2 linked regions of the Lytechinus pictus genome follow. The protein of the gene in region 2 interacts with the protein of the main gene of each other region in a pairwise test. Links are inferred from orthologs where the notes say so. Each region holds a gene or a part of one and is shown on either strand. Other genes may lie near its edges.

What was found. The genes of interacting proteins can lie anywhere in the genome.
Region 1: the proteins of methylenetetrahydrofolate reductase (NADPH)-like (region 2) and proteasome subunit beta type-1-B-like interact in a two-hybrid assay, tested with the Caenorhabditis elegans proteins (3 studies listed by BioGRID). The link is inferred for Lytechinus pictus from reciprocal best matches to the Caenorhabditis elegans genes mthf-1 and pbs-6.

What each region holds. Positions count from the first base shown.
Region 1 is NC_087259.1:10,581,422-10,589,623, reverse strand, and holds the start of proteasome subunit beta type-1-B-like, read left to right. Parts: upstream 1-4,830; 5' UTR 4,831-4,991; coding exon 4,992-5,071; intron 5,072-8,202. UniProt on the Caenorhabditis elegans protein: Non-catalytic component of the proteasome, a multicatalytic proteinase complex which is characterized by its ability to cleave peptides with Arg, Phe, Tyr, Leu, and Glu adjacent to the leaving group at neutral or slightly basic pH.
Region 2 is NC_087258.1:5,055,826-5,063,446, reverse strand, and holds the start of methylenetetrahydrofolate reductase (NADPH)-like, read left to right. Parts: upstream 1-4,447; 5' UTR 4,448-4,601; intron 4,602-7,621.

The sequences.
Region 1 (8,202 bases), on a different chromosome or scaffold from region 2:
GTCATATTTTATTACCTCATCGTTTTATTGTTTCTTTTTTTTCTGCTTGAGAATATGTTGGGGAGAATATGCATAGGAAGGTTTTTTGCCTTTCCCATGGGGAAGATTAACAATCGCATTTAAAGAATGAGTATGAACAGGATATGATTTTGGAACTGTGTTGTTTTTCTAGATGGACAAGTTTGTGAATAAATTTTTGTGACCAATAAAAGCCTTGGGAATTTTCTGCCCCCTTAATTGAACAACAATAAATGTGTGTTGGATAATGTTTTTATTCCGACTAGTATTGTTTATTAAGCCTTCTGACACAAAGATTTGCACTTCATCCCGATGTCCCTGTCCAGCCAATATCTTCTTGTTTGTTGCAAGGGTAAATTGCCAATTCGTCTACTGTCTACTCGTCCACTATTTACATGGTCTACTTTCATTTAGTCTAACGCCATTCCGTCCATCAACTTTTCGTCTAATAACCATTTGGTCCAACTTCGTCTATGACCATTTCGTCTCATAACCAGTTGGTCTAATATCCATTTCATTTTCATTCATTTTGCATAAATTAACACTTAATAGTCCAATTAGGCCAAAGGGTACATGGACTAAATGGCTATTGGACCAACTGGTTATTAGACGGAATGGCATAAGACTCAAGTCTGAAAGTAGACCATGTGGTGAGTGGACGAACTGATGGTAGACCAGATGATAGTTGACGAGTTGGCAATTGGACGAAATGGCATTAGACGAATTGGAAATAAACCATTGCAAGTGCTAAAATTACATAATTTGTGATTTCTTGCAAATCTTTGTGTCAAGGAATGCTGATGATGGTGGTGGTTATGGTGATGATGATAATGGTGATGATGATGATGGTGGTGGTGGTGGTGCATGGCGGTGATGATGCTGATAATGAGGATGAAAATGATGATGATGATGAAGATAATGAGGGTGACAATGATGGTGATGATGATGATTATAAAGATGACGTTGAAGAAGATGATGATGAATATGATAAATTACAAAACGACGGCGATGATGATGATGGTGATAATGAAGATGATGAATTACAAAATAACGACGGCGATGATGATCATGGTGATAATGAAGATGATAAATTACAAAATAACGACGGCGATGATGATGATGGTGATAATGAAGATGATAAATTACAAAATAACGACGGCGATGATGATGATGGTGGTGGTGGCGGTGATGATGCTGATAATGAGGGTGACAATGATGGTGATGATGATGATTAAGATGACGTTGAAGAAGATGATGATGAATATTAAATTACAAAACGACGGCGATGATGATGATGGTGATAATGAAGATGATAAATTACAAAAAATAACGATGGTGATGATGATGATGGTGATGATGGTGGTGGTGGCGGTGATGATGAAGATAATGAGGGTGACAATGATGGTGATGATGATGATTAAGATGACGTTGAAGAAGATGATGATGAATATTAAATTACAAAACGACGGCGATGATGATGGTGATAATGAAGATGATAAATTACAAAATAACGACGGCGATGATGATGATGGTGATAATGAAGATGATAAATTACAAAATAACGACGGCGATGATGATGATGGTGATAATGAATATGATAAATTACAAAAAATAACGATGGTGATGATGATGGTGGGATAATGATGACGATGGTGGTGATAGTGAGGATGGTGATACAACACAGGGCCGCAGAACGGTTTTGAAATTGGGGAGGCTACGTACATTCAAAAAACACAAAAACGTTTTTGTACATGGAAGAGTTAGTTCCAACATCACTTCATTCATTCATTTATTTATTCATTTTTACAACAAAATTTATAATGCAATAATTACAATAAATAAAACATAACATCAGAAAATATGAATGACATAAATATTCAAATAAACCAAACATACAGAATATACACCTGGTACAGAATATAATATTTCCAAATTGATAATAACAAAATGCAAGATATGTTGGAAAAATGGAGTGGCCCACTGAAAAGCAAAGCTTGTAAAGTGTGGCCCCTAGCTTTCAAGAACAATGGTGTTACATGTAGGCATTCTTTCTGATGATGGCAACAGTGGTTGGTTTTTTTTTATTCAAAATTCACCTAGGCCTATGTAGGTGTACTTGAAATGTTCCACAAATAGTCCGAAAACTAATAGTGTAAGTTACGTGATCCATGATGATGGTGATGACGATGATGACGATGATGATGATGAGGATGATGATGATGGTGGTGGTGGTGGTGGTGGTGGGGTGCAACCTATGAGAATAACACACGCAGCACCCTCCATAAAAGTCTCGGGGATGGTTCAGCACCCCTGCTTCCAGAGCCATTGGTCTCAGTTTGAAACTTGATGTTCCGCTATTTCAGAAAGTTTTCCTAATACGATCATTGTACAGTCCGACGATAAATTCAGGAAAATAGATTGGGCAGATAAAAGTCATGATGTCTATAATCAAATGATTTAGCAAAACTATACCACTTTTTAAATCATTTAGGTATACCCCAACCCCTCGCCGGTACGCCAATTGTGATGATAATGGCGGGGATGATCATGAATATAATGGCGATATGATAATAATTATGATAACGTTCATTATGACTGTGAAAGACAAATGGAATAAGAAAATGATAGAGCTATGGCATTTTACAACTCGACCTTTTTAGATTAGTCTTACTCTATACATGAGGATGATGATGTTACACATTTTATTTTACAGGGTAGTACATCTCAAATTCGACTATTTATGAGGCATGTGAGGAATAGAACAGTCTCTTATTATAGGCCTATATACTGTTGGGAAATGGAAATATTTTATTTATCAAATAACAAAATAAAATAAAAAAATAAGTTAGTGAGTCTTTGACATAATTGGCTCCCTCATTTGCAAGACCGCCAATTGTACTTGGCCTACTACTTTATAAAAGTATATTTGAAGAAAGAAACTTAAAGAAATTGACTCAAATGCTCTTTTTTACTTCCGAAACAGACAAACAGTCTATTTGAAAGAAATACTAAATACTATTTGAAAGAAATACTAACACATGTGTAAGCAAAACCTCTCACACAAAATATTTTCCACATCTCCTCATTTGCTCATTAAAGGGGGAATTCACAATTACATTAAATTGATTTCAATAGAAGCCAAAAAAAGAGAGGAACATATGCCTAAAAAGTTTTAGCGAAAATCCATAAGAGGATATAACGAAATTATTATTATTTTGTTGTTATTGTTGTTGTGTTTGTTTTTATTTTGTGACGTCATATGCGAGCAGTTAATTCTCCCCTTATGAGCATCTTTTTATGATGGCTACCTGCGCATTACAAATGTGTGTACTAGTAATCGATTGTTCAACATATCATTTCATAGGCCTATCGGCTTCTATTTTTACTGAAGAAAGAGAAGGAAGGAAGTAGTCGTGGGCCATTAAAAATTGAAATTTATATATATTGGGAGCTACTCGCACATGACATGACGCTAACATTTAACTTTTAAATTATCGCCAACTTATGAGTGAACCCCTCCTTTGATGAACGAATAAGACAATTCATACGAGAGCGCAATAAACTGGTATAGTATCATCAGCCAATAGCGTAATGAGCCCCCCCCCTCTAAAAAAAATGAGGGGGCAACATAATTTACGTGTAACAAAATTTCTTAAAAGTCGTGAGCGAGTGAGCAAATGTTTGTCCTTTTAAAATGACAATCTAATTTTGCGATAGGTCTATATAGTTTGAAATATTTTTTAGAAAATAATACTTCATCTGAACCTTCTTCCTTTATGTTCCCTTTTTCCTACTTTGAACTTTTGGGACCCCCCCCCCCTCCCACACACACACACTCACTCACACAACTGCAAGCCATGACAATAGCAGAACAATATATGAACAAATTAAATACAAAAGATTTACCAATTAATTGTAATTTATATATAGGCTTAATTAAAATAAAAATTTGTAAAAAACGTTTATTCATGTGTTACCATTTTAATTTTAACCGGGGGACAGGAGGGGGCTCTAGCCCCCGCACTTTTTTTCCAAAACCGTGTACAAAAACGAAAAAAATTACCACCTGATTATGATTTTTGCATGGTCAGCCCCCCCCCCCCCCCCCCACGCACGTTTTATTCAAAACCGTTCCGCGGCCCCTTTATATATATGCCTATAATTTGATTCTTTTTTTTTTTGCCTTTCATTTTGCATTTTTTATATTGAATTATAATGTTGTCCTTTATCGAGATATTGTGTGATTGTCATTAATTTTAATAAACTGCTGTAGGATGACACTTGAAAATAGAGATACATGTCACTGTAGTATTAAACAAAAGTATTGGAGTAAAAAACCCTGCACCGGCCTCAATCCAATACCAAAGCTATTTTTTTAAGCAAACACGTTGGTATCAATCATTCACAAAGCATTTTCATTTATTTGATGCAAGATAGAAGAGTTATGTATCGAAATACGCCTCGGTCAAGGGCCGTACCGGGTATCGAACCCCGGACTTTCATTGTGTAGTCGGGTACCTTAGACCACTCGGCCACGGCACCAAGCTATTTTTTTTTTTTATAATATTTTATTTTCTTCCTCTTTCAAATCAAGTTAATCACTTCGTATAAATCAAGATTTTGTACATATATACGAGACAAAGAAATATATCAATATCAATGAGATTACAAATTTTCAGAATTATTAGAAATGAAGTTAACTGCCCAATTTCTCTTACATTAAAAAAGCAGAGAAAAAGTATCATCAATCGACAAATAAAAAACAGACTTTGTAAAAGGTGACTTTTTGCACTGCAAAACAAGAGGTCTAGCGCCATCTACATTTCATAATTGGGTAGTGTCGTTTCGGTCGCTTTTTGGAGCTCATGACTGGCAAAAATTGAGATTGAGACCAAAAAAATAATCGTTTTATTTGTATATTTAAAGACTATTTGTTGAATTATTTTGTGCCAAAATAAAAGGAGGCCAACATCATGCAGGGAATGCACGAGACCGTCCCGAGTTATCATCCGGTGGAACAACAGAGATTCAATCCATACACATTCAATGGAGGGTAAGGTTACTCGTCTGTCCACTTTGTCAGTTTGTGCAGCGCTGTCCCTCCTCGCCTAGCCTCAGCTCCGGCGGCTCGCTCGCCAAGGAGGGAGCTAGGCGGTGGAGCTGCCGCGTTCATGGCAGCCAGGATCAGCTCACAATTCACATTCTGAACGCTAGGTTACTCTCTAAATTTGCGCTAATGCAGTTGGCTCTATCGTCATCCAAGTCACTGGGGACAAACTTGAGACACACCTTTATCAAAATATCAGCAATCTTTCTCTGGAATAACGCCTTCTTAAAGAGGTTTTCAAAACCAAAGTCTTTATTAAATAGAAATCTAGACTATTGTTTGCGAATTGCGGCGTGAAGCTTCTGAAGTCTGAACAGGGGCTTTCTTCCACCACACGTTTTCCTATTGACACAATAACAACTGACTCAGACACTTTTTCAAACAACAAAAAATAGTAATCTTCTTTCTTTTCTCCTGAATATTCTTCCAAGTTGAAACAAAAACACGAAATAAAACAAAATTAATCACACTAAAAACTAAATTTTAACTGCTCGTGATCCCATAGCATAGGAGGGGACTCGAATAACGATATGCTCGTCATCCGAGTCCCCTCCTGTGGGAAATTTGCAGTTAGATCTAAATAGTATTTTTAATGTGATTTTTTATTGATTTTAATGATTCTTATTATCGAGGATATTCATTTATCATCTCTAAGAAACTGTCTAAAGTGGCAGTTAAATAGTTTTTTTTTTTAATGTGATTTTTACTGATTTTAATGATTCTTAATTTCTTATTATTGGAAAGTCAAAAAGGGGGCCTAAGCTTTCGATCCTAGCAGAATCTTCGTCGGAGGCAAAATGACAAACATATAAAGTGGAACAACCATAATATAGACCACAAACAAGCTACAGCAACACTAGAAACAAGGAGACAAAAGGGGCATTAGTGAGTAGAGAAGACCAATCAGGTTAGTGAAGGGGATGAAAGAAAAGGAGTAGGCAGACACTTATTATTGAGAATATTCATTTATAAGACTGTAGGAAACTCTCCAGAAGTGGCAGAGTGGTTTTGAAGAGGAGGGAAATGCAAAATGAGGGGTAGATGAATATCAACTTGTTAATTGCCGTTTTGTATTTTAGGAGAGGGGACTTGGATCACGAGTTTCAGTAATAGTATTCCTCGTTATCCAGTGAAGTCCCCTCCTATGGGAAATTGGACAGTCTTTACACAGGAAGGGGACTCGGATCACGAGGAGTAATTAGACAGTTAATAAGTATTTTAATGTGATTTTTATTGATTTTAATGATTCTTATCGAAAATGTTCATTTATCATCTTTAGAAAAAGTGTCTAAAAGTGGCAGAGCAGAGTGGTTCTGAAAAGGAGGGAAATGAGGGGTAGATGAATATCATCGGGTTAATTGCCGTTTTATTTTAGTGGGGGGACCTGGATCATGAGGAGTAATGACACATTTTTATAGTGTTTTTAGTGCAATTCTATTGATTTTTAATAATAATTCATATAAAGAATATTCATTTATCATATCTCTAGGAAACTGTCTAAAAGTAGGAGTGGGCTATACATGTAAATGGGTGATTTTTTGTTTTATTGTGGCAACAGTTTTTTTTTGTTCCTTAGCAAGTAGCAAGCAGCTTTTATAGCTATATTGCCTTAGAGAAATATATCTTATCAAATAAAAGAAAGTTTTATAATCCATAGGGGCTATACGGTACATGTATACAATGCACTGGAGACTGGACATACACTACACTGCATACAATCATCTAATTGCTATTCATTTCATTTGATGTTTATTTTTTTATCTCTTGTATAAGACAGAAATAACCATTGTTTCCAGGGATTTATTCAACAATTTCTGAATTCTTACTATCATCCCATTCACCTAACCAGGAGGCTCCTAAAGAGTAAAAATCATTCTCTAACATGAGCTTACCTCCATGGAGCCAGGGCATGTGCCTACATGTATATCTTGTCTGTAGTGGCTGGGCTTTTTTAAAACTTTTGCCCCTGTGATTTCAACTTTCCCTATAAGAGTTCTAGCCCTAAGTCATGTTCATGTAAATGGGCTAGCATAGGCGGATCCATGGAGCCAGGGCATGTGCCTATATCTTGTCCGTAGCGGCTGGGCTTTTATTAAACTTTCGCCCCTGTGATTTCTACTTTCCCTATAAGAGTTCTAGCCCTAAGTCATGTACATGTAAATGGGCTAGCATAGGCGGATCCAGGGGGCCGCCCCCCCCCCCCCTATTGGCGGAGCAAAAGAAAAAGAAAAAAAAAAGAAGGGAAAAGAGAGAAGAAGAAAAAAGAGGAGGAAGAATGGAAGATGAATGAATAAAATAACATGAGGGGAAGACTTGGAAAAAAAAAAAAATCTTTCATGTCATATAAAATTTTCGCTCGTGCTTCACGCTCGAATTGCCTGTTCGAATGATACGTACATGTATGTAGCTTGTTCAGAAGCCTGATATACATGTAGAGCTTAAAATATCAAGTTTTTAAGTCAATAAGCAAAACGTATTTCAACATGGACATTGATCTTTTATTAATTTGCTTGATTTGCCAATTAATTTGAAAAAAAGTGCTTTGTAAAATGTCTGTTTTATTATCTGAATATCAACATTTACAGCTCACGCTGCGCGCTCGCATTATTTGATTTGTCAAGTACCTATCCTCTTCATGCATTCCATAAAGTTATAAAAAAATATATATCTTGTCAGGTCTGATTATCAAAACATATCAACTAGCGCTGCACACTAGCATTTTGATTGAGTTATGTGTTCTATAACAAACTTCTTAAAATCCCCTTTTGACAGTTTATCAATATATTCGGCTTGTAATTTGCGCTTGCACCATTTGTTAAAAATGCATCCTATTCATAATTACAAAAGTGCTTAAAATGTCAAGTTTTCAGGCCTTGATATCAATAAATTTTGTGCTCTTATTAGGCTTATAAGATTAATAAATGAGACAACATTTTTATGAATTCCTATGATAGTCAAAGTGTCCCCTTTTTTTAGAATGGAATATCGGCAAGTTTCATTTCGCGCTAAAGGAAGAGGAATAGGAAGATAGTCATCATTTTCATATGATGACGAATGTTCTTAGAATGTCCCGGTCC
Region 2 (7,621 bases):
GCAGAAACGTCTTTCCAAACGCCCCTTTTTTCGTGTTTCATGTTTGTGATTCTAATCATGATTATATTCAATTTCGACTAAACGCAATCGTGATTCTGCAGAATCATGATTTGAATCATGATTCAGATCATGATTCTAGGGTAAAAAAGTGGCGGATAAACGCACCCCAACTACGAAAGTCATATCTGCCTGGTCTTCGGATGGCAGAATAATAGCCTTACTTCCAGCAAGCGGAGGAAAAACTGTCAAACGTTTGATCAGGGCTGAGAGTGGTTTGGACACTATATGAATATATAATCTCTTGATGTATCCCTGATTAAACAGGACTGATATTACTGATGAAGATTTTAATAAATGCAGGGTTGATTACATATTAATCATTAATTTTCATGGACCTGATGTAATCCTTCGTTATCTACAACTAGAACTCTTGTATTAACTTTACGGCTGTATTATTTTTATATTGAATAGTGTTTTAACATTTTGTTCTACTTTTATGTAGTTTTTAGCTAATGGTGAAACAATTTCCTTGCGTCAGTGCCTTAAAAGTGTAAAAAATACTCAAAGAGCTTTACAATGTACTGTCTGTAAAAAATGGGTTTACACAAAATGTGTTAAAATAAGTAATGATTTATATGATGATCCTATATACTCAATTGTTTTTAGACTGGCAATGTACCAATTGTCTTTTCAATTACTTACCTTTTTTAACTGGTGAATTTGATAACATTTCATGTACCACTCACACTAAAAGTAATGTGAATGTCAACACTTCTTGCTTATCAGAAATAGGAAACCCGTTGCAATTTGATTGCTTACAAAGTACAGGTCTTAGATTTGTACACTTAAATATTCGTAGCCTCCTTCGGAACATTGATTAAATAAAGTTATTATTAGAATGTAACAAAATACATGTACTATATAGCACTGAATGAAACGTTTTTAGATGAATCAATATTCAATAGTGAATTAAATATTGACAATTATCTCCTTATCCGTAGAGATAGAAATCGACACGGAGGTGGAGTAGCTGTTTATATCCAAAATTCGTTATCTTTTGAAGAAATTGATTATAAAGTAGAGAACTCATTAGAAATAATTTCGTTAATGATACGTCCAAAGTTTTCAAACCCAATTATTTTTAGTACCTGGTATCGACCACCAAACTCTCATCTTGATATATTCCAGCAATATGAAAACTATTTATCATATCTTGACCGTTTTAACAAGTATATTGTCATAATGGGTGATACCAACTGTGACATCTTAAAGTCTCCATTATCGACTGACACTGAACGTTTACAAGAAATTCATAACTTATATTCTTTAGATCAAATTAATAGAACCGACTACACAAGGGTCACATGCAATTCAATGACTCTCATAGATCATATGATTACTAATTCACTTGAAAATATAAATAAATATGGTGTTATTCACATTGGTATCAGTGACCACTCAATGAGTTACATGATATAGAAATCAAAACATGAAGACGCTTCTCGAATGATTAACTTCAGAAAACTATCTGGTATTGATCTAGAAGCGTACATGGAAAGATTAAATAACCAGTCTTGGCACGAGATACTTAATTATGATAATATAAATGAAGCATTTATCAAATGGGAAGAACTTTTAATGTCAGTTGTTGACTATTGTACGCCTATCAGAAGTAGAAGAATTCAGAGTAAAAAATCGCCCTGGATGAACTCAGAAATACTTAAATTGATTCGAGAAAGGGAGAAATTGAAGAAAAGGGCCTTAAAAAGTAAAGATGAAATTAAAATGATAGAATATAGAAAGATCAGGAATAAAATCACTTGCCAAATTAGGAAAGAAAAGAAAAAATATTATAATGATCAAATAACAAAACTAAAAGTAAATGCTGGAAATATATGGACTGTTATGAAATCATTATTACCTTCTAAGAAATCAAATTCTGTGATTAAAACTGACAAAGAACAAATATTTGAGCAAAGTGAGAATTTTAATAATTATTTTGCAAATATCGGGGCTGATTTAGCATCCAAGATTCCTATTTGTTCTGGAATAGTGCCGGAGCAATGTAACCTGGATTCATCTTTTTATTTTACAGCAGTAACAGAAGAGGATGTTTCAAAAGAGATTAAATTATTAAAAATATAAACCTTCTTCTGGTATAGATGGTATTACTGCTCAAATACTAAAAATGTCTGCACCAGCCATACTTCCATCCACTAGCGTACCTACGGGGGGGGGGCAGAGGGGCAGTCTGCCCCCCTGACGAGCCACCACCCATGCAAAGCCACCACCCATGCATGTATCCCTGCCCCCCCCCCCCCTGACGAGCTTGAAAGACCTTTTTGCCCCCCCCCCCCTGGAAAATCCTATAGGTACGCCAGTGCTTCCATCACTTACTTATTTGATCAATAAATCACTACTAGATAGTACGTTCCCACATAAATACAAGATAGCAAAAGTTATTCCAATTTACAAATCAGGTGATAAAAATGAACCTTGTAACTATAGACCAATCTCCATTTTATATTTCAAAAATTATGGAAAGACTTGTATCCAACCAACTTAAATTGTACATGAAAGAAAATGAAATACTGATCTGTGTGGATCAGTACGTCCGTCCGGATTCAGAAAGAAACACTCAACAATGACTTCTCTTTTGAAAGTCACAAGGCAATGGACGAGGGTCTTTATACATGTTATACGGGGCAGTATTCATCGACCTGAAAAAAGCCTTCGACACTGTGGATGTTAAAATACTTGTGAAGAAGCTAGCAAAGATTGGTGTTTCAGAAGATGCTTTGCACTGGTTTGAGAGTTATTTATGCAACCGGATTACCGGAATATATGTACATGTATCGAGAATATTACATCAAACGTCTCAAGTATAGAGTATGGGATTCCACAGGGTTCAACCCTAGGGCCAATTCTCTTTACGTTATACATAAACGATATCAATAAACATGTAAAATATTGTAAACTGCATCTGTATGCAGACGACACAGTTATTTATTTTTCTGGAAAAATATCAGTGAGATAGAATACTACATAAATATTGATCTACATAACATATATGGTTGGCTGTGCCACAACAAACTAAGCCGTAATGTTGATAAAACGAATTCTATGCTTTTTCGAACTAATATTATGTTATCAAAATGTGCAAATATAAATGTTGAAATATCTGATAAAACTATTAAGCAATCTAACTCTGTTAAATATTTAGGCATGTATCTCGATCCAAAGTTGAAGTGGGATACTCATATTGAAGAACTATGTAAGAAAACTAATAAGCTTGTCAAATATTTAGCACGTCTAAGACATTTCGTAACTGAAAGTAATCTAAAATCATTGTATAGTTCAGTTATACTTCCCTTATTTGATTATGCTGATATTGTGTACGAATCCACAAATAAGAAATATACTAAACGTCTTCAAAAAATTCAGAACAGAGCTGGCCGTATCATTTTGAATGTTCATTAAACCGCAAAATCGAATATCAAATAGAGAAATACACCAACGACTCGAATGGAGGTCATTACAATCACGAAGAAATATCCATATATATATACAATGGTGTTCAAATCATTGAACGGCCTGGCTCCATTATACTTAGCAGATTCATTTAAATATTGTAATTACTCATATAATTTAAGAACCGTAGGTAATGTGATTATGCCCAAACCAAATACAGAAAATTGCCGTAGAATGTTTATATATAGAGGTTCACGCCTATATAATGACTTACCTTTAGATATGAAATTATTTTATCAAAGACTTAACTACATTTATTACTTATTTGAGCTCTAAGATTTCAAATTACATTGATCTCTGAGCAACACGTTGTTTTGCCGGGAGGGGGTGGGGTGTATTTGCTTGTAGCTTGAACCAGTATACATCTCTATGGCTTGAACTCATAACTTTAAATTTTGTTTTATGTCTATTGTCTAGTTTTCATTACTTTATATTGTGTTTAACAATGTTCTTTTCTGTTGTTAATGATGTTTATAATACAATCTGATCTATTTTATTATGTTCTGGACCCCTAGGCAGAACAGAGTGGTAATAATTTCCACTCTGAATGGGCAATCCAGCCATTCCTATGTATTTATTTTATTTTGTAATTATATCTGATGTATTTTGTTTGTATTTTGCATGTTTTTATGAATGGAAAATAAATACAATACAATTATTACAATTTAAAAAAGACGTTTAAAATGCATGCCTATATTAATTTTACCCCCAACTATCCAAGCTCAGCGCTGAATGCGCATCATGCTCTTGACTTTGTAGGTAGGTGGAAGGGGTGGAAGAAATGAACATGAGTTCAATTCGTGATGTGATATTCCAATCAACCTTTGATTCTGGTGTGATAGACGCATTCGGATATCGATACAGCTGCATTGAACGGTGGTTTCGCTGTAACGTTAGAGGGCGCTCAACGAACTGCACTCTGATATATATATGCCGAATTGCGAACGGCATAAAATTACGCTGCGATGTTCTTTGGGTCTCTTTCGCTTCTCAACCTTCGCCGAACGCACGTCGAAGCACCTGCTGTATGTAAACGAGATATCGTAGTCTTGTTCTGCTTTGTTGTACAGGCACGTATCTTCTACTCTTCAATTTTTATAGACCCTTTCGTAAAGCTAAGCCTACTTTGGTTTATATTGTGAAGTTTGTTGGCCAATTTGTTTATTGTTTTCACCATTATGCATTTTTAGGGAGGAAACTTGCAACACTGCGCCGCGCAGAACACAAAGTCAGAAAATTGCACGAAAATTTTAGAGAACTGAGTCTGAGATCTAACTTAGCCTTAGCCTTAGGTACGGTACGGTAACTCAAGTCTCTGTGTGAACAAATTTAGACTAGCTTTTTCGATCTGCGGTATCAACAGACAACAACAACAAATGTCCTTGGCCGGTGTAGCGGCGGATTTGGTTCCACCGGCGGATACCGTATCCGCCGGCAGATATCGTTCTTAATGGCCGATATCGTTTTTAACCGGGTTTAACGCGGCTTGATGTTTGCAGATTTGGTTCCTCGGCGGATTTGGTTCTATTGACGATACGTGTAATATTTATTTGGACAGACGTCCAACCTCGGCAGCGCGCGCATGCGCGGCTCTGGCAATGTCGTTACCAATGGGGGGGGGGGGATTTTCGTCCGCCTTTAGACTTTTAGTGAATTTTTATTCAGGGGCGGATCCATACAGCTTTTGACGAAGGGCTCGATGGGGGTGAGGGAATAGGAGAAACAATGACTCGATATATCATGTATACATAGACCTGGCAGTGGCACATGCGCCAAAACTTTGCTATTTATTATTATCAGATTTTGATGAAATTTTCATCATTTTGTTTTGTAGGCCCTACGTGAAAATTTATACTACTTTCAGTCCGCAGTATGCATTGATATCTTTAACTGTGCTTTTTCACACCGTGATTAGTGTAAGTTTGCCAGACTGGCGAAAATTTGTACCCCCATATAGGCCTATGGTTTTTATAAAACTACAGATTTTCAACGAGTTAAAACTTCATAATTTCAAAATAAATGAGGCAAATTAGTTTATGAATATATATTGCTGTTAACTCATATTATTGCTTGTAGAGTGCTAATTTTTTGTGAAAACATTAAAAAAAAAGAATTTCAAAACATGATTAATATCTTATGTAGTTTATTGTAGGCCTATTTTTAATTTGTCATGTATTTTTTTTATTTGTTTTTTTTTATTCCTTTTTTTTCAATATTTTTGTTAAGGAATCTGAATTAAAGGGATGGTCCGGGCTGAAAATATTTATATCTTAATACATAGAGTGGAATTCACTGAGCAAAATGCAGAAAATTTCATCAAAATCGGATAAGAAATAATAAAGTTATTGAAGTTTAAAGTTAAGCAATATTTTGTGAAAACAGTCATCATGAATATTCATTAGTTGGGCTGATGATGTCACATCCCCATTTTCCGTTTTCATATGTTATCACACAAAACCATATTTTTTTCATTTATTTCATACTTGTGTGAATAATATGTCTCCCTTATAATGAAATAAGTTGCAGCAATAAATATCTAATGCACTAAATCAGTTGTCACTCAAAATTTTCTAGTTCTTGGAGGAAAAAATTTGAATAAACCTAATTTCATATAATAAATTACAAAAGAACAAGTGGAGATGTGACATCATCAGTCCACCTAATGGATATTCATGACGTAACAGGCGGGGGGGGGGGAGTTGCCCCCTGGCGGATTTAACCAGGAATAAAAGAAAAACGGGAAAGGAAAAAAAAGGAGGGAGAAAGAAAGGGAAAGGGGAATGAGGGGAAAAGGAAAGGAAAAAGTGAAAAGAAAACGAAGAAAAAAACCCTTTTTAACGGAAAAGGAAGGAAATCGGGAAAATGAACGAAAGAAGAACATTTGAGAAAGAACAAATCATTCCAAAACAGGCATAATTATGTAATGCAATAGCACGGTGGGAAATAAATTAAAAGATGACAAAATGGCAAACAATAGCGCGAAACGAAGGTAAAATGCAATTAGTCAAAAGCTAATTTTTGGAAAACAAAGAAAAGGGACAAGAAAAAAAAATAACACGACCGGGCTTCCGATGATTGAAATTAAAGAGCAGGAAGAAAGATGGACTGCATACAACATTGTGCTATATATAAGCTAGCTAAATTTTATGTAAATAAGCTACCGGGGCTTTGCCCCAGACCCCACACAGCTGTAGGGGCTCTTCATTTATACTGAACCTCAAATTGCTCTATAACGCTTCCCGTTCACAATCACGTTCAATTACTGCACATGCGCGGGGGGGGGGGGGTCTTGGTTCCACACCCAAGAGAAATATAATAAATTAAAGGAGACAAGGTATAATGAAATGAATGGAAACAATGAAATTTGTTAGTTGCTGAATCTAATGGAAAAATCAATTACATAATTCGAATTTAATTTCAAAATGCATTTTTTTTTCCAGCTCGATCGCTTTGCGACTTTTTACAGATTTTTCCCACATTACTATGTTTTGCCCCTCAAAATATTTGGTTCATTACGCAACTGGGTTGAATAAATGTGTTTTGTAAAAGCTATATCCTGTACATGCCCGCGATTTGATTAAAATAGCGGCAATCTGCGAGGAAATGGCTTTGATATAAAAAATTCCGGACCCCAACCGCACAGCACTGCGTATGGAAGGGTTGGGCTATGATCCCAAAAAGTTCTACAAACAAGAACAAAAAGAAAGGAGGAAAGAAAAGCAAAGGAAAAGTGTAGAATATGATTTTATTTACTGAATATAATGCCAAAAAATAGCTCAAAGTTAGATTCTTCTTTGTGTGCAGTATGTGAATTTTGTTTCATTTATTGTAAAGCGCGTAGAGAAACTTTCAGTTTTATGCGCTATATAAGGGAAGTATTATTAGTAGTAAGTCTGTTTATATGTATACAAAACTCTAAATCATCTAGCACCTGAATATCTTAATAATACCATCAAATTATACACACCCTCTCGTAATCTTCGTTCAATCACTGACACATGCAGACTTTGCATTCCCTTGTCAAAACTCTCCTCTGCCGAAAAACGGTTTGCTGTAGCAGCTGCCAAGACTTGGAATACTATCCCTCTTT